4 linked regions of the Schizosaccharomyces pombe genome follow. The protein of the gene in region 3 purifies or fractionates together with the protein of the main gene of each other region. This does not show direct contact. Each region holds a gene or a part of one and is shown on either strand. Other genes may lie near its edges. The genes, in order: tif223, gcn1, ade3 and lsc2.

The links.
Region 1: the proteins of ade3 (region 3) and tif223 purify together in Schizosaccharomyces pombe (co-purification; one study listed by BioGRID). This does not show direct contact.
Region 2: the proteins of ade3 (region 3) and gcn1 purify together in Schizosaccharomyces pombe (co-purification; one study listed by BioGRID). This does not show direct contact.
Region 4: the proteins of ade3 (region 3) and lsc2 purify together in Schizosaccharomyces pombe (co-purification; one study listed by BioGRID). This does not show direct contact.

The regions. Positions count from the first base shown.
Region 1 is NC_003424.3:5,363,777-5,371,048, reverse strand, and holds tif223 (translation initiation factor eIF2B gamma subunit tif223), read right to left. Parts: upstream 3,645-7,272; 5' UTR 3,502-3,644; coding exon 3,353-3,501; exon of another isoform or gene 3,284-3,352; intron 3,229-3,283; coding exon 2,958-3,228; exon of another isoform or gene 2,835-2,957; intron 2,832-2,834; coding exon 2,390-2,831; exon of another isoform or gene 2,349-2,389; coding exon 2,206-2,348; intron 2,135-2,205; coding exon 1,763-2,134; 3' UTR 1,671-1,762; downstream 1-1,670. Other genes in the region: SAGA complex subunit Spt20, read left to right, coding at 1-495, 583-869; amidophosphoribosyltransferase Ade4, read left to right, coding at 5,088-6,689. UniProt on the Schizosaccharomyces pombe protein: Acts as a component of the translation initiation factor 2B (eIF2B) complex, which catalyzes the exchange of GDP for GTP on the eukaryotic initiation factor 2 (eIF2) complex gamma subunit.
Region 2 is NC_003424.3:2,222,423-2,230,135, forward strand, and holds the start of gcn1 (translation initiation regulator Gcn1), read right to left. Parts: upstream 4,969-7,713; 5' UTR 4,919-4,968; coding exon 4,771-4,918; intron 4,698-4,770; coding exon 1-4,697. Other genes in the region: U3 snoRNP-associated protein Utp11, read left to right, coding at 6,593-7,342.
Region 3 is NC_003424.3:1,327,079-1,336,317, forward strand, and holds ade3 (phosphoribosylformylglycinamidine synthase Ade3), read right to left. Parts: upstream 6,243-9,239; 5' UTR 6,156-6,242; coding exon 2,184-6,155; 3' UTR 2,013-2,183; downstream 1-2,012. Other genes in the region: RNA-directed RNA polymerase (RDRC) Rdp1, read left to right, coding at 1-1,822; transcription factor TFIIIC subunit Sfc1, read right to left, coding at 6,587-7,843, 7,952-8,065; serine/threonine protein phosphatase PP2A regulatory subunit B-56 Par2, read left to right, coding at 8,850-9,239. UniProt on the Schizosaccharomyces pombe protein: Phosphoribosylformylglycinamidine synthase involved in the purines biosynthetic pathway. Catalyzes the ATP-dependent conversion of formylglycinamide ribonucleotide (FGAR) and glutamine to yield formylglycinamidine ribonucleotide (FGAM) and glutamate.
Region 4 is NC_003421.2:2,156,833-2,163,719, forward strand, and holds lsc2 (succinate-CoA ligase beta subunit Lsc2), read left to right. Parts: upstream 1-2,596; 5' UTR 2,597-2,766; coding exon 2,767-4,068; 3' UTR 4,069-4,463; downstream 4,464-6,887. Other genes in the region: lnp1 (protein lunapark), read right to left, coding at 1-213, 298-539, 598-618; transcription factor TFIIF complex alpha subunit Tfg1, read right to left, coding at 4,499-4,683, 4,733-5,531, 5,573-5,668, 5,752-6,291; protein Cwf26, read left to right, coding at 6,388-6,887.

The sequences.
Region 1 (7,272 bases), 4.0 Mb from region 3:
TTCTACTAGCGTCAGAAGCTCCACTTTTCTTAACTCCTGCGAAGTCTAAAGCGGAAATGATTCAATTTATGAACCAGTTGGCCGACTCTGCACCACCATGCACCAGAAAGAAACCTCAAGGATCAGCCCAACTTGCTGATGAAGAAGCAGAAAGACTTGAAAAAGAGAACCTTTTGTTACTAATGGATGACCAAAGAAAACGCGATTTTCAACCTACCTTTCAAAGACTACAATTTATTGAGAATGTGCGGCGTAAACGAGCTATTCTACAACAAAGGCAAATGCAAATGCAACAGCAACAAAAAGCGCAGCAGCAGCAATCACCGAAAGCTCAGCAACCACCCGCACATTTGGTTCAGTCTGCTCCAGTTCAAAGAAAAACTACACCCAAAATCCAACGTCTACCACCTAGTAGTATTCAAATTCCCCCTCCGAAACCTATGCAGAAATTCCCAGCTAATGCGGCATCTTCTGAATCGCCCCCCAATGCGACTGGTAAGTGTATTAAAGGCTTATTTCAGTACTTTTTGAGTTCAATTCAATTTTATTTTAATTTTGTATTTATTTTTCTAACAGCTTTAGGAAACTTTTTACCTTCGGGTCCTGTACCTGCAAATGAACCTATGTTAAAACGAGAATCCGTGGATTTGATAAAAATACGACAACTTGCAATTTTGTTTCAACAGCGTGCCTCTCAATTAAAAGCTAGAGGTGCTACACGGGAACAAATTACTGAAATTCTGAATCGTCAAGCAATAGCCGCTGGTACTGATTTGGCAACAGTAATGACGGTTGCACGAAATCTTCATTTTCAACAACTCCAAATGAGACAGCAGCAACAACAGCAGCAAATGAAGGCTGAAAGGTAACTCTCAAATGCTTCATCATTTAATACACGAATTTAGTTTTTTATTTATTATTTTTAAAATTTTATTTTTTTTGTTGCATAAATACGTTTTTTTACTTCACTTCATTTTCCTCTATAAAAACTTTTTTGCTCATGGAACAACTTGGCGTTTTCACTTACCAGTGTGAGATATGTAATGTAGCTGTTTCTAATAACACCCAGTTTTAGGTAAGTAAAATTAATATGTTATTTGGATATTTTTGTATGATGACTATAATTTGCGATTGAGCGATGGTATTGCTCGGGATCTTGCCTGATTCCCATATGGGCTCCATCAGTATGCGACAAATAATCTTCTGATTGATTTCCATTACATCAACTGCTTTTGTTAATACGAATACCTTGCTAACTGTTTTAAGTTTTAAATATTATAATAATGGAGTTAAAGAACGTCCTGTTTTTTATGAACGTTAGGTAAGGCAATTTAATTTTCAAAACAAATAACCGTTCTGCTTTGCAATTGATGAAATATTTGCTTATGATCAATAAATGATTCTTTTATTATCACCAAGATCGCTGAGTGCTAAAGTTTTTGGTTATTTTATTTGTTTTAAATATTTTCGAGTTATTACTAACCCATAGCGATATGAACTTTTTTAGATGTATATGTGTATAACCTTGTATATATGTATAACTTTTTTGCATATATATGTACATGCGTTTTCATCTGTAATTTATTCCCCTTCGCTTTTAGCTAATATTGATCTATGAGTATATATTTTTAATCTAAAAATTCCTGACTAATATCACCTTTACCTTGATTAGTTTAGACACACTTTGTAGAGTAAGTGCACGAAATTTTTATTATATCTATTTCAAAAAAAAGGTTGGCTGACAACGGTTTGATACACAGTATTAGTCCATGTCCGTCTCAATTTTTTCCATATCAACCAGCCGCTCACCCCGAGCGATACGGCCAGCTTCAACGCGATGATCAACGCCAATTTCGCATTCACGAAGTTTTGACTTAGCGCCTATTTGAGCACCTGAGGCGACTATGCAAGATTCTAAACGTACTCCGTCTTCAACAACAATGTTGTCCATCAAAATAGAGTTGCTGACCACTACCCCTTTTCCAATTACACAATTTTTACCGATAATGCTCTTTTTAATGTTGCTGTTATCCTTAATGGTGGTACCTTCATTCACCATACAATCGGCACCGACCAGTGCTCTTTCGGACACGGTGACATCTACAAGGCGTTGTTCTGGAGTAAGTTTGGCGATCTAGTTTGCTGTTAGAGATATTGGATGAAACTGCTAAAAAGCGAGATGAAGCTCAGCTTTCGAAAACATACGCATTTATTAAGTTCGAAATAGTTAGGTAAATTATTAGCCCTAGAACAAATAATCCCATCTTTGGCAATTAAAGCATTAATTTTAATTTCCTGTGAGGATAATCCCCCATCATAATTATCAATATTGTTAGGAGATGACAAAACTTTAATTGTTAGAAAATAGTTAATTAAAAAAAGCACTTACATCTTTGAATGTTCTCTCGTACAGTAAAGGATTTCTGATATTGACATTTAACAAGATACGGGATGAGATCTCCACGAATGCTAGAAATAGATTCTTTCTCCCGGATCAAATCAATAACCCAGTGTTTAAATACAAATATATGGGCATCCGAAAGGTTTGTATTTAACGTAACCCTTGGGTGTTTCCACAACAAAGACATTCTAAATGTAAAATCACTGCCCACGTCTGCGGAACTTTTGGCATACAATAGTCTGCTCGTCTTCTCTTCAATTCCAATCAGTTGTTTTGCATCAATCTCTTTAGATTGACTTGTAATATGCTCATATTTTAACACTGGACTATATACAGCCAGTGCTGAAGGGTTATCAAGGCGAAACTTATCCAAACCGTATATGGGAGGGAGACCAACTATACTATCACAACTGAGACACACAAAGTCATTCTGGTGGGTATCGGTTAGCATTTTTTGTGACTTTAAGACGAGTAATTAAATTGCAGAATGAGAGAGAAAAGATCAAAAAGTCTAAGAACACATGCATATCTACTTATACATAAAAATAAATCATACCTTTATAAGATGGGATACAGCACGAAGAGCATCGGCAGAGCTTTTAGAATCATCTAAAATAGTCGGTGCTTCCACGTGAATACGCATATGTCCCTCGTAGCCAGATCGTAACCAAGCATTGATATGGGCTTCCGCTTCTTCCATGCAAATAAGAATAGCAGAAGTAAATCCAGCAGCTTCAAGCCAATATAATGGGTAGTGAAGCATCGGTTTATTGCCGATAGGTAATAAAGCCTTGGGAAGTGCATCGCTTCCAGTCAAAGGATATAAACTAAAACATGGTTAGTATTTTCTTATTGTTATTTTATCTTTTTTAAGTGTTGATGAAGATAATATGTGCGAAGTCATCATTATCCAAATCGTTAAGTAGTCAGTACTACACTTGTTTGTTTTACCTATTGCCAAATCCTGCAAAAACAACAGCTTGAAATTCAATCGGAATAGACTGTAATTGAATATTCCCCCGATTTCGTCCACCAGAAATAGGTCCAAGGATTGAAGGGCTACTGGCTAAAGGAAGTGCAGCATGCTCATACAACGACATTGTGAGATGTTGTTCTTCAAGGCGTTGGATGCTTTTACAAAAGGTTTTTACCTAAAAGGATGCTTTGAAGCCAAAATCTTTTATAACCTGATAGAAGACGAATTATTGGGTTTTTTTGCAGTACGCCAATATTTGATGAAGATGGAAAACCTTACTTTCCTAGATCCCTACTAACGAGCCAAAAGTTTACACGTTACACATCACTATCTGAAATAAAAATGTGCTGAATTTATATTTGTGTTTAGAAAAATGTATTCATGAAATATGAACTATTGATGATTTTTTTTTAAAATGATTTACCAACTCAAAATGTGGAGCTGCTTGAAAACTAATTATTGCTTTGCACTTGTAATTTTGTTTAATGTGCAATATTAAAAAAGATGTTTTAATAATCAACGATTTATAAATCGGTACGTTTTCGCGATCCTGGTTTATAATCAATCCGATAGTAAAAAATATCAATCAAGCGCTCAGAAAATGATCCTCTGTACACCAATTAAGGAACAAATATTTGAAGCCGGTTAGTAAACTATTATTTTGAGGAATCAGAAGATTAGAGATACAGTACATTGTGTATTGTTTTCATTAGTTTTTTAAGTTTAAAAACCATTGGACTACTGCAATCGTAACAAGTTGAACTAAAAGTTTTGGATTAGATTACCCATAGCTCTCATCTCGGTGATTAATGTATTGTTGTTAACTACCGAGTAAAGAAGGAAGAAAAACCAGAACATTGAAAGATTTTATAACAAATAAATAGTAATGGGATACCTCCGGTAAAGCTCAATAATAAGTTGATGTGTATGCGGCATTACTGTAACACTGCACCACTCTTAACTTCATCGAATTTTTTTTGATATAAGAAGGTTTTATTTAAAGATATATTTTTAAGCTTAAAAAATTTTTTTTGGCAACAAAAATAGCAAACAATTTAATATCATCTACCCTGTCAGCTAAGTAGCAAGCTATACCTGTTACCTATATTAACGTGCGCATATCCCACCTCTCTTTAAGCTTCTATTTAGCGAATCGTTCATCACAATCTTGAGCAGTCATAGTTTCGACTCATACTTCACTATCATTTAAGGCGGACAATAAATTAATTTATACGGCAGCAAAATTTTGCCTTAACAATATACCCAACTACGGTGTTTGTTCAGCGCGTACCTGAAAATCTTTTTTTTTTTGTTTCGTACGCGTTTTAAAAAGTAAGTTAATATAGATATTGATTTTCCAACGCCGCAGTACTTGCCTATGATGATTACCGTTTATTTAGATGCTAGACTTCTGAATTTCATCTTATGTAGCTACAAGGTTTTCTGAGGTCTGCTTAATTGATTAAAATTTTTTATTTTCTGTGATGGTAACATACAACTCATTTTACGGTCGGTACAAAAAAATTGAAATTATATTCCAAGTATTCTCAAACTTTGATTGCTGTCCGAATAGAACAGTCCGACTCATATTATTTTAATCAAGTTATAGCAATTTGACTGGGTGCTGTTTTTTCTTTTGTACATTTAAACCTATCATTTTATTATCTTTTGTATTCAATTCACAACCGAAGCTCTAACAAGTTTTAGAAAATGTGCGGAATTTTGGCGTTAATGCTTGCTGACCCTCATCAACAGGCATGTCCTGAAATTTATGAGGGTCTTTACAGTTTGCAGCATCGGGGTCAAGATGCCGCCGGTATTGTAACCGCTGGAAACAAAGGTCGTCTTTACCAATGCAAGGGATCCGGCATGGTTGCCGATGTTTTTAGTCAGCATCAACTTCGCCAACTCGTAGGTAGTATGGGTATTGGTCATTTGCGCTATCCTACTGCTGGAAGTTGTGCTCACTCTGAAGCACAACCCTTTTATGTTAACTCTCCTTATGGTCTTGTGTTGGGCCATAATGGTAATTTAATTAATGGACCCGAATTACGACGCTTTTTGGACACTGAGGCCCATCGTCATGTAAACACTGGATCTGATTCTGAGCTTTTGCTTAACATCTTTGCTTACGAGCTTCAACGGTTGGATAAATTTCGTATAAACGAAAATGATATTTTCGAAGCTTTGCGTAATGTATACGATCGCGTTAATGGTGGTTATGCATGTGTTGCTATGATCGCAGGCTTGGGTGTTTTGGGATTCCGTGATCCCAATGGCATTCGTCCTTTAGTGATCGGTGAACGTGATACCCCCGAAGGAAAGGATTACATGCTTGCTAGTGAGAGTGTTGTATTGACTCAATTTGGATACCGTACATTCAGAGATATTCGCCCCGGTGAGTGTGTCTTTATTCGTCGTTCCAATAGGGAAGATATACTTGCAGGGTTTAGAGGCCCTCGCTTGTTTTCTCGTCAAATCCTTCCCTGCCTAAGATTTACTCCCGATATATTTGAGTATGTCTATTTCGCTCGTCCCGACTCTGTTATTGACGGATTGTCCGTATACCAATCCCGTTTAAATATGGGTGAAAAGTTAGCGCATACTATAATGAAACGGTTTGGTCCCGATTACATGGAAAAAATTGATGCTGTCATTCCTGTTCCAGATTCTGCTCGAACCAGTGCCCTTGCACTTGCACAGACAGCTCAACTGCCATACGTCGAAGCTTTTATTAAAAACCGATATATTGGTCGTACCTTCATTATGCCAGGTCAACAGATTCGTCGTAAATCGGTTCGTCGTAAATTAAATGTTCAACCTCAAGAGTTTTTTGATAAGAATGTTTTAATTGTGGATGACAGTATTGTTCGTGGTACCACCTCTCGTGAGATCGTTCAAATGGCTAGGGAGTCGGGTGCAAAGAATGTCTATTTGGCTAGTTGCGCTCCTATGATCACTCATCCTCATGTCTACGGTATTGATCTCGCTGATTGTAAGGATCTCATTGCTTATGGAAAAACTGAGGATGAGGTTGCTGAAGCAATTAGTGCCGATGGTGTCATTTATCAAACATTAGAAGATTTATTAGATTCTTGTCGTACGGCTGAGCTGACCGAATTTGAAGTTGGTCTCTTTACTGGCGAATACACTACTGGCGCTAGTAAAGAATATTTAGTCCATCTTGAGCAAATGCGTATTGCTAACAATCGTGCTCGTAAGCATAGCTTTGCAGAAGATGAGGAACGTGAAGCTCCCGAAGACATTTCTCTCCATAACACACATTCAGATGTTACTTTTGATTTTGTTTAATTCCCCAATTTATTCAATGCTTAGTGCTTTATTATAATAACCAATCCTCCATTTACTTTGTCTAGATTGATGCTCTAATCCATTGTTGAATACTAATAGAATGTACAATCGCCCCATCAATGGTTTTTTGGTTGATTTTAATTTCTGAATTTTTGTCCTCTTGAAACTTTTCTTGAAATTAAAGATAATTTCATCAGCTCCTTGTTGTTAATTTTACTTTTTGTTACCAATTAATATATATTGTTTCAATATATAAGTTTACCCATACTCTTTAAGACTATTAGATTATAAGTAGTGTCTGAAAAAAATTTTCTACACACTTTTATAAACATGCAATAATATACAATATTGGTTTTTTTTTTTTGGTCTCTTAACCTTTTCATAAAATGAAACATAATTCAAAGTCTGTTTGTACTATTTGCATAATTATGTTACAAACTCTTTCGACGTTTTTACTTGTATAGTCCACCAACTTCTTCATTTCTTTATATAAATGCGTATAACGGTAAAAGCATTCTTTCGTTTAATCAATAACTAAAAACCTATTAATTTAAGTCTATGTTTCAATACAACTCACTGTTTT
Region 2 (7,713 bases), 900 kb from region 3:
CGTGCCTGCATTTCGCTCTCTCAGCCCATATTTGAGAATTGGTATTACAAGCGCCAAAGAGGGTGGATCAAGATAGTGAACAAATGATGTTTTCAACAACGCCTCCAACGCGTCGTCTGTATAACGTGTACAATCGGATAACGCCTTTAATAACGTAGGAACTAAAGTTTGAATCTCAGGGTTCGAGATTACGTCGCCAAATCGAAGAAGACTCTTATTTGCTGTATTTCTAACTTGAGAATGGGAGTCAGTTAGTACTTCGCTTAATTTAGGAATAATCGTTGGGAGAAAAACCGACAACTGCTTTGGAGCCATATAGGACATCAAACCAAGAATCTCTACAGAAGCTTTCTTTGACCGCCAGTTATACTCATTCAATCCGTCCAACAAAGTCGGGAGTAGAAGCTTAACTCCAAATGCACTCAGTTGGCTCATGATCTGCTTAACAGCGTCCATAGTTGCCTCTCGCACTTCATTAGCATTATCTCCAAAGGAAGTTAAAAGCAACGGTAATAAATCAGGCAAATAAGGCTCGAAATAAATACCTAAAATCCTAGAGAACGCTTCAACAGCAAAAAGAGCTACCTGTCGATGAGTAGCATTTTGTCGATTCGAGATTAATTCTGATAACGAATCTAAAATATTGAAATCTTGAAAGGCTTTAATACCGTAACCTTTAACCAACCCAGCCAGGCCATAAGCAGCACCTTTTTGGTCAGCAAGTGATGTGGAGTTCATAAGCTTGTTACTCAATAATTCGTAATACTCCTTTGATTTACCTAATGATTTTTTAACCAAAGGAGGTAAGCAAACTGCAACAGCAAGCTGAACACTCTCGCTGGGTGTAGAGAGTACACTTAATAAGCTATCCATAACAACAGCTAGACGAGGATCATTTGAAGGTAAATGCTGTGCTACCGTGCCAAATAATACGACAGTAGCTTCCCGTAAACGATCATTAGCATCAGTAGGCAAGGAATCAACATTCAACTTTTGTTCAAAAAGTTCCATTAGAGCCTCAACCTGGTGTGCACCTGATTGAAAAATTGCTAATTTTCCAGCCTCAAGCATTTTCGATGACACTTTTTGGGAAGCATCAGTTACTGGAATTTGTGCCTCCGCTTCCGAAGCAGTTAACAAGAACTCCAAGAAGGGTAATAGCAAATTGGACGAAAGATATTTGGAAATGTGAAAAAAGGATACGGCTACTGATTCTCTAGCTATACGCCCCAAATCGCGTCCAATAGTTTCTTTCTTAATGATTCCATATTCATCATATTCGGGAGCAGAAGGTAAAGCATTCTCACGATATGTTCGCATTAATTCCTTCGGTATAAATTGACCAAGCTCTTCAAACTCGTCAAGCAAATCAATTAAAGATTTACCAATGATCTGCTGAAGATAGTCCGAATCTTGAGTAAAAAATATTTGAAGTTCAAAAAATGAAGTTTCGGTAGCATCAAGTCCATTTTGGGTCGATATTTGATGAGCTATAGATGCATTTGTTTCATTATCATCATACAATTCCAGAAAGATTTCCTTAATAAATTCAAAACGTGATAAATCAAAAGCCTGTAAAGCTTGCAAAACAGCTGATCGGATACTACTTTCCGGGTGAAAAAGATTACTTAATAATAAATTAAGTTCCTCATCGGTATATGTCGAGTGTAACCCTTCACAAAGAGAAAGTAAAGAGTTTTTATTTTCCTGATACTGCGTAGGTGCAATCTCAAGTAAGTGCAGCAATGATTTTATTAGCTTTGAACGCATTCTCCTTAGTGAAGCTGAGTAAAGTGCTTGAAACTCCAAAATTTCTGTAACCAAAAGTTGTAATTCGGCTTCATCTTCTTCATCAGAATTGGTGATATTAAAGGTCAAGTCATAAAGTAATGGAAATATGCATGCAAACATTTGTGGCTCAAAATAGTTTTGCTCAATGGCAAAGCGAAGTTTGTAAAGTATGGATTTTGTTAATTCCTTAATATTTTCAGAAGAATTTACACTAAATGTATGGGCAAGGATAGAGGCGAGACTCGATGAATAAGATCTATCACCTAATCGTTCAGAAAATCCAGAAGCTTTCAAAGTAAGCAGAAAAGTATCATAGGCCAAGTTTTTAAGAAATGGCTCACTATATTTCAGAACGTTGTGGAAAAGTAAGACATCAATAGCATCTTCAACCCATAGGGCAGGTGCGAGTTGCACAGCCTCACCTAAGCTCCGAATAATGCCTAATCCCCTTTCTAATGAAAGTGCAATCAAGTTGACTCGACTACGAATTTTAGCTTCAGCATCGAGTTGTGCATCAACAAGAGCTTGTTGATCCTTACTCAACTTCGCAGGCTTTTTAGCAGACTGTTTCGCCCTCACTTCAGCTTCCCATCTCTTAGTCTCATAATCCTTGGTATTCTTATCAAGCTTCTTTGAAGATTTTTTTTCTAAAACGTTATCCCACAATACACCCTCAGGGGTCTTCCAAATTTCTAAATCCGTACTTGATACAGAAGAAATGTTAAGGTGCAACAATTGATTACGGAAAACATTTACGAACAAAGGTATTGATTCTTCAGGAGCGACAAAAACAATCATGGAAATAGACGCAATAGCTGCTGTCTCTTTAGAGTCCTTGATAGCAGAAGAAAGTAACAACTCTATTTCTTCGATGATACTGTGTATGCGTTCAGAAACAAGAGTAGCGGGATCACGTTTAGACACTTGACAGAAGCGAATCCAATCAAACTTATCCTTAAATGCAAAGGAGAGGAAGAGGAGTTCAACCAAATATTTATCGAAGTCAACAAGTTCCTGGTTTGAAAAGTTAGAAGTATCAGCGGACATCGATGAAAGGATTAAGGATTGAAATAATGAGGAAATCTCATCGTATTTGGCTGAGTCAAACTTTCCTACGCTCTTGGACTTCTCGAAATCAGCATGATAATTCCATAGTTGTGAGCAAATTGACATACGAAGATGGGGACGGTATAGTATTGCCGATTTAAGAATCTTTAGCGCACGATTAGAATTTTCACGGCTAGCAAAAGAAAAAACGCCGATGACCGATTGAAACCAACGTTCAACAAAATTGGAAAATAACAAATTATCAGAAACTTTTGCAAAATCACAGAGGCCCTGAAAATACCAAAGTTTCGACTGATCATCATTAAGCTTATTGGTAATTTTGCTGGAGAAAATGAAAACATCATTATTTTTGGGAGTTGACAGTTTTACTAAAATGTCCTGCAATTCAAGAGTATGGGATATTCTCTCACTATTCCAAACAGACAACTTATTAACACCGAAACTTAAATAAATTATAGGTGCTAAGTATGTACCATTTTGAGTAGCACCAGATACAGACATTAGAGCCTTTTCCGTAAGAATAGACAAATTATTTAAAAAGAAATTGATAAATTCTATTTGAACATCATCAGATGCAGGAAGATCCCATGCCATTGTAGCTAAAGATGTGAGCCAAAACATCGACTCATGAGCGACAGGTCTCTGTAGGCTTTTAGAGAGAAAATCGTAAATTTTGTCTCCGGGATTACGACCATTCATTAACAAAAATTTCAACGTTTTAACAATCAATGACGCAAGCGAATTAAAATCACTCTCTTTTGCTTTAGTAAAAAGAGGTAATAATTCATTCAACAGCATTGAAGCATCGATATGTTTTAGAGAAAGACTCGAGAGTGCATCAACAAAAAGAACACGCTGATCGGAAGCCGTAACCTTTCCGGTTCTAAGAGAGGTAATCAGTTCAGACGCAACGCGTGAAAGTGATTCATTATCACTCGCATTAGCTGATAAATCCTTAAACGTTTGAAAGCAGTTTCTTCTAACCTCTGCGTTTGAGCTTTTCAGTCCGTTCACAAACGAGGTAAGTACAGACGAGAGAATCAAAGAAGAAGCATCCACCTTTGAATCCGCGAAACCATGAGCCAGAGAAGAAAGTATACCTGAAAAGATAATTTCTGGAGAGCGAAGTAAAGCTTTTTCAATGGAAGGAAGTAGGTATAGCTTCAATTGATCTACTGAAAGAAGCAAACCAAGACTGTAGCAAAATTCATGATACAAGTATTTCTCAAGTGCAGGTTTTGCCATTAAAACATTTTGGGCCATTATTTTTGAAAAGAGCTCAGCCTGCTGAGAAATTTCATTGCGAGGATTGGGAGATTGGTGAAAATAGTAGCATGTGCTAATAATAACACCATACAAAGGTAGAGATTTGGGTGGAAGAATAGCATTCTCGGTTTCTGTCAACAGAAAACTAACCAACTTCTTCAAGGAGTCCATTTTTTTGCAAAATAAAGAACGATAGCATCTCCTAGTAGACTTTATGGCACTGTCAGCAACACTGGGTTTTCCATCGCGTAGAGCATATGATAAAAAACTGCTTTGTAGTGGAAGCAGTTCTAAAATCCAATACTGTAGCTCTTTCTCTGGAAGGTTGGGAATCATTGAATTAACCCAGTTAAGACAATCAAATGATACAGAGACAGTACTCCTGAAGCGATCCAATCTTCCAGCGATGGTGGTCAGCCGACGAACTAAGAAAGGAAGCACTATTGAAGGTAATCTACTGACCAAATGATTTATTGTTATTTCGATTTGTTTTCGAGCATCTCTAGAAAGATTTCGTGGTAAAGTTTCAAAAATATCTTCCAAGGCAGCAATAGCTGATTCTTCGTCAATATCTGAAATGAAAAGTTAGAACAAAAAGAACTTCACCAGTTTTCATAAAATTAGTAGTCTAGAAGTCTAAATTACCTTGAGTACGACAAATATGCTGAAGGATATCTATCATAATCTTCTTCGATCCCAAAAATGCGAGCGAAGTATCTTTACTTAGCAACATGGCATAAAGCATCCGATCTTTATGACCATGTGCTTCTATCCCAGGTTCTTCGACCGACATGACCGATATCGGAGAAAGAAATGTTGGTTATGGACAGGTTCGCAGAGGGTACATTAGCGTCAAGCAATTTTCGATTACCTAACGAACTCGAGTTTACCGAACCAAATTAATAAGTTAATAGTAATATTCTTAAAGATAGGTATTTTTGCGCAAAATTAAAGAGTATAAAAGAAATCTAAACGGCTATATACCTGATAATTTCATAAGAGAATTTATTTTTTTTAAATTTTTTTTGGCTAATATCGTTTATATTTATCAATACTTTTAGAATTCACAGACAACTGCTTCCTAAATTAATTGCTTTATTTTATCAGCGATTTAAATGCACCTATCGTATTTTACGCGATTTTGGGACACATATTCTACAGGGTCTGTTGCAATTATCCATATAAAAATTTGTCTATGTAACTAGTCTTAGTTTCTTCTTTCTTTTTGATGTGTAACAAAACCAATTATTTGCTAAACAGTCATTTTATAAAGAGTTCGTTCAAGTACCAGCAAGTTAGGATTAATTTTAATATTATAGATCCTTTTTTTTTTTTTTTAAATTTAAAAATAATATTTAATATCAGTTCGAATTTAATTATATTTCCCATAAAAAAAAAAAAAAAAAAAATACACATTTAATAACGCATATTACATGTAAATATTAGTTCCCTAGTTTTTGCTAGGCTGCAGTCAATATTCTATATTGTACAAGCATTAAGGGTAAATTAAGAAAAAATCAAAGTACAAATGTTTAATGAATTAAATCTTCTGAATCGAATAACAAAAATCTAATATACTTGCTATGAAACTCTCGGTTGTGCCAAGCGTTTTACACTCACCAGTAACAGCTTTTTCTCTTCTTTGATCTATTCCCTTTTCATTGTGGGAAGTGTGTAAAGACAACTTGCCGTCAGCTACAGCATCTATAACTGCTTTGAGGATACAGTAAACTACGATGACTATTTAACAAAATCTTTTTTTAAAATAAAGCCATACTGAAGGATAATCGGTATAACAATGCTTAACATTATTTACCAATTCAGTGGAATTACAGAACAAAGAGATGCACTTTTTGTTCAATTGAGTTATGTCAACCACAAGCACATACATTGGGAACGACGGCATCGTAATGGATAAGATTAAGGACATTAAACTTAAGTAATGTGTAATGTAGTGAGATATCGATGACAGTTAATGTTAACGACAGCATAGCGATTAGTCCTAATGCGTTGCTCTTACTTTCCTTATTTTTTATTTTTCAGTAATTAATAAATTATCTTGAGGCTTCCGTTCCTTTTGAGCAGAATAAATCAATGAATAAAAAGTTTTATAGAGAAGTTAAGACAATTATTTTTTAATAATAAGTATTGCTAAACTGATAGATATGGGCTGCACATTAACAGTAAACTTTCCAATTCTACTAGAAAGCTAACAAGCCACCATTCAGCCAAAGACTCTTTCTAAAAAATTTGATTATATCTATAGAGTATTAACAGTATAACTTCAAATCGTAAACAATACAAGCACTAGCCAAGGGGGTAATAGCGTATCTTAACGTCCTGAGCACATTGCACGCTAACACTTGTAGTGCCCTAAACACAAATATTTTGCAGAGGCGAATCTGCTAAAAGCCAATAATTCGGTTCTTTGACAAACAGCCAAACATTAACCATAACTTTTTTAAAGATGTCTTCGTCTTTTAAAAATGCAGGTCAAAGGAAAAATCATCGAGAAAGAGCTCAGCCTTTTGAAAGACGAAAATGGGGTTTGCTAGAGAAACGAAAGGATTATGCGCAGCGTGCTCAGGATTATAAGACAAAGCAAAAGAAGTTAAAACGTCTTCGTGAAAAAGCCCTTGAAAGAAACCCTGATGAGTTTTATCATGAAATGACACACAAAAAGACCAAAAATGGAGTACCCCTTGAACAGCGCGAGGATTCAACCATCGATATGGACACAATCAAAATTTTGAAAACTCAAGACATTGGCTGGATTCGGCATCATCGCAATGTTGAACGTGCTAAAATTGATCATTTGGAACAACAAATGCATACTGTGGGAGCTCATCGGAATAAAAATGAATCCAGGAAGCACACCATCTTCGTAGACAATGTTAAAGAGGCAAAAAGTTTTAACCCAGCTGAATTTTTCCAAACTACAGATGATCTGGTTGGTCGAACCGAAAATCGTGTAAAGAAAGATCAAATTGAAAACAATGAACTGACAAACCAGCCTTTTTCTGGAAAATTGCACTCAAAATTAAAAGAAAAGGCGGCGACCGAGCTTCTTTTGCGCCAGAAACGCGACAAAAAATTGGCGGCTGCTGAAGAACGTGTCGAGCTTGATAGACTTTTACAGGGAAAAGGAGGCCGTCAGAAAAAGAAGGTCGTAAACGGAAAACCGGTATACAAGTGGAGGAATGAGAGAAAACGATAATTTCCTTAAATTGCTCCTAACATAATTGAGGAACTGTTTTCAGTTTGTTGTGTTTGTGATTTACTGGTTGTTATTTCGTTTCTTTCATTTAGTTGTACCTTTTTTGTTATTTATCATTTTCTCTATTTAGTATGAATGTACTTAGGTTTTGGAATTTTTAACGAATGGATTGCTTATTTATGAATAATTTGGTTTAATCATCTGTCTAATTCTAAGCAAATATCCATCTATTTCTCATATTGAGCTTCATAGTGTTGTGAGTCATTCAATATTACCGAATTATTTTATCGGTGAGTATTAAGAGTTTGTCTTAGGTTGTAATTCCCAAACTTTAAAAGTGTATGGAATGGTTTAATTCAATGCCTTGTAGT
Region 3 (9,239 bases):
CCACTGCTTTACTGATGGGGTTGGAATGGCATCATTATCTGTAATTCGAAGACTTTCTTTGGAAGTAAAAAATCATGATATGTTTCCCTCTGCGTTTCAATTTCGTATGGGTGGTTATAAAGGCGTTTTATCTTTAGCTCCTCCGACTAAGCTTGAATACCATCAAGGAAATCTTGTGTTTCCACGCCGTAGTCAAGATAAATTTAAATCATTCCATAGTACCTTGGAAGTTATTAAAATATCTCGATTTTCAAATGCCCATCTGAATATGCAACTGATCACCTTATTGGAAGGACTCGGGGTTGAAAAAACCGTATTTTTGGAATTGACTAGAAGTCAGTTGTCAAAAATGAACGAATCGATAAACAGCAAACAAAAATCCATTTTAATGTTACGGGACAACGTAGATGAATATCACTCTACTTTAATTATTGCTGATTTTATCCAGGCCGGTTTCCTTGAAAGAGATGATGCTTTCACCGAGAATTTATTAAATCTATATTATGAATGGGTTCTTAGGTTAATTAAGGAAAAACAAAAAGTTAGTGTTCCAAAGGGTGCCTATTTACTTGGTGTAGCTGATGAAACTGGAACACTAAAGGGTCATTATGATGATGCTGTTTTGTCAGTACCTGAAATTTTCATCCAAATTACCGACACTTCTACCAGTTTTGGTTCATATTCAACTGGAAAGCTGAAAACAAGGGTTATAGTTGGATTGTGTATTGTTGCAAGGAATCCCTCGCTTCATCCAGGTGACGTACGTGTCTGTAAAGCTGTCAGATGCGATGAGCTTATGCATTTAAAAAATGTGATAGTGTTTCCGACAACGGGTGATCGAAGCATTCCTGCTATGTGCTCTGGTGGTGATCTGGATGGGGATGAGTACACAGTTATATGGGATCAACGTCTTCTTCCTAAAATTGTTAATTATCCCCCATTGCTTGAATCATCTCCCAAGAAGTCTATAGATTTTTTGGAAGGAAAGCCACTTATCGATTCGGTAAAAGAATTTTTTGTGAATTATATAAAATATGATTCGCTAGGTCTAATTTCAAATGCTTGGAAGGCATGGGCCCATGACCATGATAATAATCCGGAAGGGATATTTGGAAATGTGTGTTTAGAACTTGCAGAAATGCATTCAAAAGCTGTAGATTTTGCTAAATCGGGAGTAGCTTGTAAAATGCAAGCCAAATACCATCCCAAACGATATCCTGACTTCATGCAAAAAACAAAAACTCGTTCTTTTCGTTCCGAAACCGCGGTTGGCAAAATTTTCAGATACGCTGCACGATTCCAAAGAGAAAGTGGCAGACCTGCAACTTATAATCCGATAATGAATACTGTTTATGATCCTTGTATGAAACTTCCAAGGTTTAAAACTGAATATCTGAATGTAGCTGAAGAAGTGAAGAAACACTATGATAATGACCTGAGATCAATTATGGCTCGTTTTGATATTTCCACAGAATATGAAGTTTACACAGCTTTTATCCTTTTTAAAGATGATTTAGCTAAAACCGTAAATGAATATGGTCTTAGGGAGGAAGTTAGCTTTCAGTTCGACCTTCTAAAGAAAAAATACACTCAAGAGTACTTAGAGAAATGCGCTTTATCAAATCAATCGGCATTTGATTCTTCGGAATATGAAGAACGGATAAACAGTGCGGTTGCTGCCACTTACGATGTGACATACGATCAACGTGTCAAATCTGTTGGCAATGGCACTACTGAGGTATTGATTTCATTTCCATATTTATTTTCTAGTCGTCTTTGTCAGCTTTCACGAAAAGCCATGCTTACTGCTAATAATTTTTAAATCGAATATACATTCGAAGCTTTAATTGCTCGTAAAAGGCTAATAGTAATTGTACTCATTATCGACAATGGAACATAGAACAGCAAAACAGGTAGCTAGAGTTAACATTTAACAAGACTGTTGTATGTTTCTGCTGAAGGAAAAGAGTTGTCATAATTTTTACACATATACTCGATGGTTAAAGCAATTTAATCGTAATAATGTATAATTAACGATTTTTATATCTGCCAAGCTTAATCTAATTTTCACCATTAATTTAAGTAGAATAATTATAAAATTTTGTAACACGAAACAAACCAAAACTGTAAAGAAACTACGGCATGTGAACTCCAATTCAGCTTCTCCGGGCAAGATAAATGCTTTAACCAACCCATTTTCTAGCAGATTGGAAAAGACGGATCCAAGGACCATGAACGCCCCACTCGCTAGCTTTCGAATGAGGGTAATAACTGTTTGCAACTTTCAAAACTACACGTTCAGGGTGAGGCATCATAGCTAAAAAGCGACCACAAGGGGAGCGAACACCAGCTATAGCATCTCTGCTTCCATTAGGGTTGAATGGATAACGGCTAGTACGCTCGTTGTAGTTGTTAACGTAGTATATCAAATCCAAACCTTCCTTCTTAAATTGTTCGTAATCGGACTCTGAATCGAAAACAGCTCTACCTTCTCCATGGGCAACGACCACGGGTAAACTAGATCCAGCCATACTTTCAGTGAAAATGGATTTTGAACCACTTGTTTCATCGATCTTTAACATAACTGCACGACCTTCGTATTGCGCTGACTCATTAAATGTAAACATAGGCCAGCTTTTAGCTCCTGGAATAAGTGATTTCAGACGACTGAACAGTTGACATCCATTACAAATACCCAAACCAAATGTGTCTTTACGCTCGTTAAAGAAACGGTAAAACTCATTACGAGCATCTTCGTGAAGAAGGATGGAAGTAGCCCATCCATTGCCAGATCCTAAAACATCACCATAAGAAAACCCACCACAAGCAGCAATACCGACAAAATCATCCAAATGAACTCTACCGCTGAGGATATCAGTCATGTGAACATCCACGGCAGTAAAACCGGATGCATAAAAAGCATATGCCATTTCCAAATAACCATTTACGCCTTGTTCACGAAGAATTGCTACTTTGGGACGACTAGTTAAAGCCAAATCAGCGGTAACTGACACATTTGGATCAAATGTAAGGTGGTATCCTAAACCAGGATCATTATTATCGGCAATATTTTCCATTTCCTGTCGTGCACATTCAGGATTGTCACGAATTTCTTGCATTTTATAAGAGGTTTCATGCCAAATTCCGTGTAATTTAGAGCGAGTTGATTTGAAGATTATTTTACCAGAACGGCTAAAAGATATTGTTTGAGCCTGGCCGGAAAGTACTTTACCGATGCGATGAACACAAGTACTCAAACCATTAGCAGCAAATAACTCCAATACCTTGGCAATGTCACGATCACAAACTTGAATTACAGCGCCTAATTCTTCATTGAACAAAGCCGCAATATTATCGGATGACAAAGAATCTAACTCACATTCAATACCAACATGACCGGCAAAAGCCATTTCACTAAGAGTAACAAACAAACCTCCGTCAGACTTATCATGATAAGCCTGAATGTAGTTGGTTTTATGCAGTTGAGTAATAACGTTAATGAAATTCTTGAAAGTGTCTAAATTATCAAGATCCGGCACCTCATCACCCAACTGCTTATAGGACTGAGCAAGTATAGAACCGCCTAAACGTTGTTTTCCATTTGCTAAATCAATAAAAATCAATGAGGTGGATCCGATGTCCTCAACTTTACGTAATTGCGGAGTCCAAATGGAATAAAGATCATCAACAGGAGAGAAGCCAGTAATTATAAGTGAAAGAGGTGCAGTTACGGATTTCTCCCTACCGTCTTCATTCCATTTCATACTCATGGACATTGAATCTTTACCCACAGGAATGCTAATACCAAGTGATGGGCACAGTTCTAAGCCTATCGCTTGCACTGCTTCATAAAGTTTTGCACCTTCTCCAGGATGCGAAGGAGCTGCCATCCAGTTGGCGCTAAGACGAATACGATCTAAAGCAGGAATAGATGCTGCTACAAGGTTCATAATACATTCAGCGACAGCCATTCTAGCGGAGGCAGCAGCGGATACTAACGCACTGATTGGCTTTTCACCCATTGCGAGGGCTTCACCAGTGTTAATTCCCTTTCCATAGGACGTGACGGTTACGCCAACGTCGGCTACAGGTACTTGCCAAGGACCAACCATTTGATCACGAGCAATCAGACCAGTGACACTCCGATCTCCGATGGTGATGAGGAAGGATTTAGACGCAACAGCAGGCATTCTTAATACGCGTTCCACAGCATCAAGAATTGGGTCACTCGATGGCGCCAGATATGACTTCAAAGAAGAATCAAATTTAGATAAGGGAATTGTTTGAGTTTCAGCTACTCGAGACATCTTGGGAGGCTTGCCAAACAGTACTTCCATAGGCAAATCAATTGGAGTAGTATTGTAAAGTCTATCGGTCAAAATCAAACGTTGCTCTACAGTAGAGTAACCAACAACTCCATAAGGGCATCGTTCTCTTTCACAAATGGATTTAAAAGTATCCAGGTCTTCTGATTTAACTGATAAAACGTAACGCTCTTGCGACTCACAACACCAAATTTGCATAGGGGACATACTAGGTTCAATACAAGGGATATCGCGTAATTCAAACCGGGCACCCAAACCAGCATCATGAACCAATTCTGGCAAAGCATTGGATACACCACCAGCACCGACATCGTGAATTGACTGAATTATATTCTCGTCCATAGTTGTACAAGCATCAATAACCATTTGGGCACGACGCTGCATTTCAGGGTTACCACGTTGAACAGATGCAAAATCTAGTTCCTCAGAGCCTTCACCAGCATTCATACTGGATGCTGCTCCTCCACCCAAACCAACTAATAAAGCAGGACCTCCTAGAACAATAATAGGACTACCAGGTGCAATACTTTTTTTGAAAGCATGCTGCTTGCGAATACGGCCAATACCACCAGCGGCCATAATTGGCTTATGATAACCACGTATCTCAAGAGTTCCATCGCCGCGTGGAACTTCCATACAAAATGTGCGGAAATAGCCATTGATACAAGGACGTCCAAATTCATTATTGAAAGCCGAACTGCCAATTGGAGCCTCAAGCATAATATCAAGAGAAGTAGCAATGTGATAAGGTTTTCCAACATCCAACTCCCAAGGTTGCTTGTAACCAGGAATGTTTAAGTCTGAAACGCTATAACCGGCAAGTCCCGCTTTGGATAAAGAGCCTTGCCCGACAGCTCCTTCATCACGAATTTCGCCACCTGATCCGGTAGCGGCACCAGGAAAAGGAGAAACAGCGGTAGGATGATTGTGTGTTTCAACTTTACCAAGAAACTCAACCGGTTCATCCTTCATTGACCAGATACCATTGACTGGAGCAAACAACGTTCCCGAATTTCCCTCAAAGACAGCGGCGTTGTCAGAATAAGCAGAAATTGTATATTGGGGATTTTTTAAATGGGTATTTCTAATCATTTTAAATAGACTGTAGTCTTTCTTTTCGCCATCAATAGTCCAATCAGCATTGAAAATTTTATGACGACAGTGCTCTGAGTTAACTTGACCAAACATGAAAAGTTCGACGTCTGTAGGCTCACGACTCTTTAAACTAGGCTCTGAGGTATAGCACTCAACCAAATAATCAATTTCATCAGGTGCCAAAGCTAATCCAAACTTCTTATTGGCATGATTCAATCGCTCGGTTGCAGCCTGCTTGTCACCACCTTGCCCACAGTTAAGCTCTATTCTCACAAGTGGAGCTGGTTCGTGCTTATCAAAAACTTCATCCTCTTCCGGAAGTTTAAATCTTAAAGCTTCAGTCATGCGATCATAAAGATGATTCAAAGCAGATTTAAGCATCTCTTCTGAAATGTCATCTTTAAAAACTACTGAATAGGCAATACCTCTCTCTATACGAATCACATCTTTATATCCACAAACATTGGCAATGTTCGTTGCTTTGGATGACCAAGGAGAAATTGTTCCTGGACGTGGAAACACATATACCATCGTTGTTCCATCAGGCTTGAATTCAGATTCTTGCAAATCAGACAAAATTGGTCGCAGACTTTCGCAATTTAAAGAAGAATTGGACTTAGTATAGATCAAGTAGAAATAAACAGCATTTAGATCAGAAACTCCAGAAACTGTTAGTTCCAAAATTTTTTTTTTACTCTGAACGCTCAAGGCAGATCCACCATAATAAACCAACATTTTCGTCTAAAATGATACAAACTCCAAAAGTACTATTGAAATAGTAGAATGGAGATACAATTACAACCTCGCCAAATAGGTTGGCTCAGTTTATGTACTAACAAGTCAGGAAAAAATATGTACTTTAAATTGCGCTATGCAGCGTAGTATTATTGTTTGGTTCATCCGGGGGCAATCGACTAGCGCACCACTAAGCAGCTGTAAGATTAAACATCTGATAAAATTATTGACATTTGTAACCACAAAATCAAGCGAGCTACTTCAGAATTAAAAAATGAGAATTAAAGATCAGAAACAATTGATAGTTGAAACCTACTCATAAGTTATGTTTTACAAGCCATTTACCATGGTCAGTTAAACAAAAAAGAATATAATGAAATTTAAGTTGAGTATAATTTTTTGTATCGAAGTACCTTGACATGGGGGGGGGTTCAATCACCAAATATATCATCGTAGTCATCATCAATTTCCTCTAAATCCTCAAAGCCTTCATGTTCTTGACTTCTCTTCATTAAATTCCTCATTAAATCATTTATCCGATCATCTGTTGCTGAAGTATTCAAACCTCTAACAGTATCATTTAAATCTGTATTATCCTGTTCATCAAAATTCGAATATCTGTCAGATTCCTCTACCTCTTCGGCGTTTAAAATCATATTCACCGCGACTTCAGAAGGCATTTCTCCTTCGATCAGCGCAAAGAGTTTTTCACGCATAAGATCTCTAACCTTATAGTAACGACCGCTTCTATACCATCCTGTGTCCCGATGACATTCAGAACGTAACTGAGTATCTTTCAGTAGTGGTGCAATTGTGGGATCTACGATATCGCACACTTGATAAACACGATTAGTGGGAAACAAAGTCTTGCCATCAAACACGTGAGTTTTAGTCCCTTTATGTTTTCCATTTAGCTTGAGTTTAAAGAACAAAGCTTGGTAAGCAGCTGCATTAGAATCTTTTCTAGGATCGTATCCAAACCGCGTATATGTATCTCTAAATGGACCTGAAGTCCATAAATAAGAAAGGTAAGGAAGAGCAAATTTCAAATAGTGAGTATATGACGGGTCTAGATGATTTAATAAGGCTCTTCTCGTCCAAACGGGTCGTTTTTCAAAAAGAGGTTTTAAAGCTTCTATAACTTCCTGAATTGTCTTCGAAGGCTCACCTAATTTTGAGTGTCTACATGTAGGTACACTTTCAACCCCCATATTTGTAGTGATAATCCAAACTCTGCATTGACCTTTTAGATTGACTATTGTAGTTTTCCCATTAGGTAGCCGAACTCGACCTACTAGTGGATTTTGCAAGAAGTTATAAGACATGGGTAGACTTGTCTGAGAGAAAACAGGAGGAGGAGGCATGTCGACATGTTTTCTTTGTACCGGAGTTAGATCGATGGAAAACTTATTAATGGCGTTATAGTCAAGCACTCGCAGAGTGGAATCTAATTTTTGAACGAATGGTGAATTTTGAGTACTATACTGGAAATCAGCCATATCTCTGAATAAGAAAACTTGACGAATTCTACTGACATTTTGCACAGAGTTGTCCATTTTTTTAATCGTTACTAATAGGTCATTTCTGGATTGCACTCGAGCTTGTACTGGATGATGGTATTTATCTTTAGGCCTTAGATTCAACTCCAACAGAGCTTGTTTTGGGTTTTGAAATGAAGTTTGACATGCCTAGAAATTGTTAGTATTAGGTCAAAAAAGATTATCAAATTCATGTTTTATAAAAGGGGAAGCTTAAAGATGTAAGCCGGTCATTCCTATACTTTTTTAGCAATTTACCTTTTGAATTGATTGAACACCGCCTAATGTCTGAAAAAATGCATCCTTGTTATTAGCAAAGCCCGGATGCTCAATGAGTGCATATTCATTGTCAGAAATTTTTAGACTATTCATAAGATATATGCCTAATATGGTATGCTATAAAACACTGGAAAAAGTAGGGCAAAGACTTTATATATATTTGCTTTTAAAGTAATTTAATTAATAATCTGGATAACTTATTCCTCAAATGAAAAATTAATTGATACACATCAATATCATTGCTTCAAAAGCATTTTAATTTTTTGGCAGCTAAAATAATGTTGTTCCAAACCTCGGACATCGTACAACAATACAGTAACATCATAACACAAGATTTTTGCCGATCCGTTAATTCACAGTACCAGCCAATTTCCCAAGTACGTTATTTCATACTACCAGCCTTCGGTAGCGTCCCATAACATTCGAGCCACTCGCCCCGTTTTGCTTCATTTGCCAAACATAACTCATAGTAAAGTTGTCATTACAGGAAGTTTCAAGGTTAACCCTCTTAACTATTCCCTAGGGTGTTTAGCTTATATACCCATCTTATAAAGGGGCTCAGAATTCTGTTACCGAGGTTGTTGCCGTTAACTCTTTGACTTGCCGAGACATATTTACGGAGTACTTGAAAGGAACAAATCATTTATTTACCCACCACATAAATTTACCCTTTTCTAACTCATCATTGTGTACAAATTTATTAACAGACGTTCTTTTGAAGAAAGACAACGTTTACATATTCAGTAATAGGTGCATTCATTTAAGTTTCGAAATTACATTCGGTCCCAATCCTAGGAATCATTCGTTTTTTAAATTTGGTTATTCGCTATCTTTATAACTTGCAATTGAGCAAGGAAATCATCTCATTTGCCTTTTAATGAAAGGATTAAGGAGTAAATTTGTAAAAGCACTTTCGTTGAAGGATGAACAAGGGTCACATAAAAATGGTCATTCAAAAAGCCACTATATCTCTAAAAATGGGTCTTACGTGGAAACTGACGACGTGAAGCACACAGACACTCACCATTCTTCAAAACACGAGCTTAAAAAACTTAAGAGTCATTTCCTAAAAGATACTTTAAAGCACAAACGAAATCATCATGCCAACTCAAATAATGAAAAACATGAAAATTCTGATAAAAAAATACATACGACGGTTCTAGCATCTGGACATGAGGATTCTGATTACTCTACGTTTTTGCCCGTAATTGAAACTTCTAAAGTTAAAGACGCCAACCATTTCCCACCTAATTATCCAGAACCAAAA
Region 4 (6,887 bases), on a different chromosome or scaffold from region 3:
TTTGCAGCAGCGGCATTGGAAAGCTTCTTTTGTGCAAGGGTTGGCTGTTCACCGTATTTTTCCAGCAGAGCTTGGGTCTCGAAATATTCCTTTCTACTTTTTAAAGCATCTAATATTTTTCTTTTTTCCGCATTTAATTTATGTAAATTCATTCTAGCACGCGACAATCTTTTTTCACAAAACCACGCAATTGCCCATCGAAACATGTAAAGACTAAACAAACAAAAATTAGTGAGTGAATTCATGCCAAAGCAGTACAATGCCTAACTATAATGTACGGCAGATGTCAATGCATACCTAAAAACACCTAAGATGTATAGAGAGATTCGAAAAAGCTTAGAGAATAAAGGATGTTGGAACAGGATGGATGAGCGACTTGCCCAAACTGCCATACCAATCGTATAGATTGCCAAAGAGCACACAGTATACCGAAATAAAATCTTTTTCTTTTGACTTTGAATATTATCAATATTATACTGAGCCTCTTCCAGCTTCATCTCCAATCGATCCAACTCCCCACCAAAATCGAACTCCTTCTTCTAATCACATGTTAGTGACTTTGAGCCTCTAAAAACTGAGAAATCCTCCTTTACAAACCTTTTGAAAAAACCAGCCCATGTTAATAAATTAATAACGTCTAACCTTTCAACGACTCACTTGACAATGAATAATTTTTGCTTATGGTTAGGAGAGTCGCAAGTGCTCGTTTCTATGAGAAGCTCTATCCAAATCACGGTTTTGCATCGTGCTATGAAATAACGTTATTAAGTATTACATTATACTTGTTTGCGAATTTTATCGAGTTGTGCTATTTGAAACTATGAGCGCAATCGATTTGCAGCGCGGCCTTACCGAGGGAATCTTACAAAGTGACTTTTGGACGAAAGTTGTGATTTTGCTATTTTGGTCAGATGAAGTAGATTTTTAATTGATTTTGCTAGAAAAAAAAAACCATTGGCTTCACATTTTGAACAACGCTCAGCCTTGAATGATGGCGACTGCAATCATAATAGAGAAGTAAATCAACAAATCTATTCCTTCAAAGGGTACTAAAGCAAAAATGTGAATATTTTTAAATCAGGTATAGGCTTTCACTGCATATTCGCTTTTTTTTTTTTTGTTTCTCTTTTGTATTGCGACAACTTTAGTGAATCGCTTGAAGTAATATTCTGATACACTTATGGGTTTGCTTCTTTAAAATACGATTCTTTTTGCTTTTTGAAATATTTTAATATCACAATCTATTAAATTTTTTAAAATTTTGATCATTTATACGATTATGAACTTTCATGAATCGCACCAACCTTCGTATTCCCGTGTTAGAGATTCAGCGTTCATCAAGAAATTTTCAACTTTCTCTTCAAAACAGAATGGTTAGTATGCCTTTTTATAAAATTCTACACATCCTAGTCATTTACATGTTATTGTTTTAGTACATGCTTATGCAAACGAAAAGAATTGCTTAACCGACTTTTGTTTACCTTATTGCACCTAGCCGATAGCTTAATAATCTAACGAAGCTTAAAAATATTCGACATTAATAATTTCTTTGGTAAAAATTTTATTTGCATGTGTGCGAATGCGAAATTTCAGGATTATATACTAATACCAACATGCTGGAAATTCTTTAAACGCTATCGAAAAACTAACTTAATATAAAATTTTATATCCAAATAGGTCACTTAAAATCTTGCCAAATCGGAGCTTTCTGTCTTACAATAGTTTAAGATATTTTAATTCCATTCATTGAATTCGAAAATCTATTAACATTAGAAAAGAATCGCTTACATGCCATTCTTTTATATTAACAAATCCTTTACAAAAGCCAGTGTAAATAGATGATGATTCATTGAAACTGCTGAATACTTAACATTGCACACGACGCTATTACGCAACGCGTAAAACAAGATAATGTGTAAGCTACGAAGTTTGGTATCTGATTTAAGGATACGTAGAGCTACGGTGAGTTTTCCTTGTGATCTATTATATTACAATACACAGGTTGTATAAGTAGCAACTGAGTATAGGTATTGTATTAACTGGGTTATAATGTTACCTATCACTAATATAGCTCATAACTGAACTGAGGAACGAGATTCAGCAGTAGCTCTATTTATAGTATTCAGATAATATTGATCTTAATAGATTATCATTAAGATCAATCTCCATATCGTATCATACATGGTACGATATATAATTAGAACATGTGACATATAGTGATACACAACGTAGTGTATCATAGCGTAGTGTAGTATTGCTGACATAATGTATGATTTGTGTCGCTATCATAATTTGTTGGTAGATTACTCTCATTGTGTGCATATAGCAATTCATCAAATGCAAGTAGCTTTATTTGTGTTTGATAAAAAAAATGCCATTTGTAATTTCACGATTATGATGCTCATCTTTCATGCTGAATGTATTCATCGTGGATAGCGACTCTAGTACTCTTTGCTGCATATCGTTACTTAAAATACTGTATGTTAACAATATTTCTATCAACGAATAACAAATTTGCGTTATGCGATGCAATTTACTATGTTTGCTGTCCAGTCATGGCAGATATATCATATCGTTTACACGTACAATATCACTCACACCCAAGTATTGGTCTTTCTACAGCCTACTCTTTGTTGTAGTTTAGGAGGAGACTCTCTCTATATATATTTTTTAAAAGAACGTGTATCTGTATGCTACGCTTCTCATATATTTATCAAAGAATTGTTTAAGTTCATCGCTAGATTCTCTCAATCCAACTTTCCTACCATGTTAACCAGAAGTGTGCTGAGAAAAGCACCTCGCGCTTTTTCTCCCTTTTTACAAAAAAGAAATCTAGCTTTACATGAATATATTTCTCATGATATTCTCAGAAAGTTTGGTGTGGACGTTCCTCGTGGTGCTCCTGCTCGGAGCGGTGAAGAGGCAGAAAAGGTTGCTCGTGATCTTAAAGTCACAGATTTGGTAGTTAAAGCTCAAGTTCTAGCAGGCGGTCGTGGAAAGGGCCAATTTGACAGTGGCCTGCGTGGAGGAGTACGGCCTGTTTATGATGCTACAGAAGCGAGAATGTTTGCTGAACAAATGATCGGTCATAAGTTAATTACCAGACAAACTGGTCCTGCTGGAAAGATTTGCAATGTTGTCTATGTTTGCGAGAGGAAGTTTATTCGTAAAGAGTATTACTTCGCTATTTTAATGGATCGTGAGAACCAATGCCCCATGATAGTCGCCTCCGACCAAGGAGGTGTTGACATTGAGACTGTAGCAGCTGAAAATCCTAGCGCTATCATCAAACGATCTCTTCCCAACAGTCCAAATCTTGACCCTCATATCGCAGAAGAACTTGTTGACAAACTCGGCTTTTCCTCTTCTAGCAAGCCAAAGGCCGTTGACGCAATCGTCAAACTTTACAAAGTATTCAATGATTGTGATGCTACACAAGTAGAGATTAATCCCCTTGCTGAAACTACTGATCACAAGGTGTTGTGCATGGATGCTAAGCTGAACTTTGACGATAATGCCGAATTTCGTCATTCCAACATTTTCGTTTTGCGGGACATTTCTCAAGAAGATCCTGATGAGGCTAGGGCTGCCAAGGTTGGGTTGAACTTTATCAAATTGGACGGTAACATTGGTTGTTTGGTCAATGGTGCTGGTCTCGCAATGGCCACTATGGATATCATCAAACTTCATGGTGGTGAACCTGCTAATTTCCTTGATGTCGGTGGTAATGCTAATGCTGAAGCAATTCGTGAGGCATTCTCTCTCATCACTAATGATCCCAAAACTACTGCTATCTTTGTGAACATTTTTGGAGGTATTGTTCGATGCGACGTTATTGCCAAAGGTCTTATCTCGGTAGTATCAGCGTTGAATCTGAACATACCTATTATTTGCAGACTTCAAGGAACCAACCAAGGTGCTGCCAAAGAGGTAATCAACAACTCAGGTCTCCGTATTTTCTCATTTGATGATCTTGATGAAGCAGCTAAGAAGGCTTGTCGTTTCAGTCGCGTTGTCGAAATGGCACGTGAAGCCGATGTGAATGTTAGCTTCGAGCTACCTTTGTAGGCTGCTAATTTTAACGGCTTTAATGTATAATTGTTTACAACCCCCTTTTCTTATTATCATTACGACATACGGCATCATGGAATGATTTTATATAATGACTTGTGTATATAGAATTCTTAGCACAGCTGTTTACCATGTCTTAAAGAAATGGTTTGTTATTTTTCTTCTTTATATATTTTATACACATTTACAGTTATATAGTAGCATAGTTGAACATCGCGATCGTAAACTCGTGTATTTGATACTATACCGATCGACGAGTGCACTTCTTAACAATCCGACGTTTTCTATTTTAGGGGAAATGTTAAATTGTAATAGTTCTACTATGCTCTTAAATTAATGCAATTTTGAATTTTGTTTCCAAAAATAAAACAAATGTTTTCTTTAATGTTCATTAATATATAAACGTTATTACATAGATAATTCATAACTAGTTTTTTAAAACGAGTAGCTTGTTCTCAAATCGAGCAACCTTTCGAATGATCTTCTGTATTCCCAACCGATTTCTGTTGTCGGCTCTAATTTTGCGTTGGAACAGGTGAACTAGATCCTTAATAGAAATGGGACCAGCTCTTAAAGCCTTCATTACCTCTGCCTCCGTAATCAGATTAGAATCTAAAAGCACGTTAATAAATTTTCTGGTAAATGTAAAACTTTAGCATACCATCAATTGGAACATTTGTAGTATCTCCCACAACCTCCACTTGATCTCCTACACTCGTTTCTGTAGACCCCATGCTAGGGACCATACGGGGAAAGTCATTGGCAAACCGTGATAACTTTTCACTTGATAAGCGGAGAATTATATATCCAGGTTTGTTAATAAGTTGTTCTTGAGGCCTTATTTGAATAGAAGTATTAGGTGATTGTAGTTGCGATGAAGCTTTGACAGGAGATACGCTGCTTGGCGTTCGTTCTAGTGGTCTTGGTGTATTAGTTTTGGAAGCGTTCGCAGAAAATCTAGACTTTAGTTTTTCTTCACGCTTTTGCAATTCTTCTTCTTCTTGCAAAACTTCTTCTTCACTAGACGCATCATGGGAGGAAGCATAAGGGTCCTCATCTTCCTCATCACTCTCATAAGCTAAATTCTTTTCAAGCAATTTTAAGTATCTTTGCAGCTTTTTTCCTTCACGCGACATTTGTCTATCATTCTCCTCTTCAAGGTCGACATCTTGATCAGCTTCACCAAACAAATTGGCAGTTAGCATTTCCTTTTTAATCTTGTCTTTCAACTTCTTATTATCTTCTTCATTTCCTTCCATAATAGGTGCTTCTTCATCGTCAGCGAATTCCTCGTCATAATCTAGTTCATCATCACTTCCACTAGCTCTCGGTCCCGTTACAGGACGTGCATTTGGAACCGTCTTAAGTTTATACATGGGTGAAGCAGAGCCTGCCTCTGCTAAGTTTTCTTCACTCTCCTTTTTCATAAACCAGCGAGGAATCGGAGTTTTTTTATTCATCTAAATGGGTTAGACAAGACCTGATGGAAATAAGGACTGACCTTTGCCTCCGCTTCATCAATTGAAAGCGTTTGGAAATTGTTACGTTGATTAAATCGATAAAATCTATCAGTTGGAATCACCTTAAAACCATTTTCCTATAGAGTAAGCATAAAAAATCTTAAATGATCAAAAGATGAATGATAAACATCCAACATCTTCAAATGGGATAAAAACTTACAGAGAACATGAACAATACATATGCAGACGATTGGCCGCCTTCCATCGTACTAACCCATGTGTTTTTTCCTTCAAAATCTTCCATAATCCAAGGAGATAACTCCTCCTCTTGTAGTCTGCGGGCCTGTGGATCAACTTTGACGACCTGGCGAGTTTTCCTTTTAAAGGCATTCTGCTTCATGTTTTGAGCGCCACCGTAAGGAGCGATTGAAGCGATGTTCACGTTACTGGAGCTTCCTTGTTCTGCATTTTGTTCTCCGTTTGACGAAGATGGAGCATTGGGGTCTCTGCGTTGCATTTTTATGGGTGGCACAAAGGATTTGGAAGGATCAATGGCTTTGTTAGAGTGAAATTTTAATAAATGGTATTTAGTTGTTTTTCTTTCACTCTCTGGACACCATGAAAGCTGGAAATCCAAAAATTTTTGCTGCGATTGTGTCGAAGCATTATTTTGGGAGTCAGGCTCCTCAACTTTGGGTTTCTTCTCATCAGGATTTTCCTGCTTTACATTTTCAAAAACTTTTGTCTCTTGTGAATCCATGTTCTCCGATAAAATATGTCAATACTGATCTTCCGCCGGTGTTGGAAGGTAGCGAGTTAAGAAGCGCTCAGGTAAGAAAATATGCATTCAGCACATATGTCAAACGCCGACTATATTGCTAAAAAGTATTTACGAAAAGATCAAGGGAAAAAGAAAAAGAAGAAAGAGAAGGATTTTGTAGAAATTCAGGATGAAGATGTCGCTGGATGGGACGATGACAATTCATTTTCACTAGTCAACAGAGAACTCACATCTTTGCATGATGCCCCTACAATTGTCGCAAATGAAAGCCTTAAAGATCGAGATATTGATGCTATTTATCAGAATATAGAAAAAACTACTAATAAACCTGCTCAGTTGTGGAAAGCTGTGGGGAATGATGAAGTTGTCGAATCTGAACAACAGGATTCTCATGATGCTGAATCAATTCCTCAGTTCGGTCTGTTAACTGGAAAGCAGGTGACCTTTAAAGCTGAAGAAAGAAGAAAGAGAGAAGAGAAATCATCCAATCTTGATGAGGAAGAGCTTCGCAAAAGTCGCGAAACTGTTTACAGAGATGCCACAGGGAGAAGGATAGATCTGGTTCTTGCAAGAAA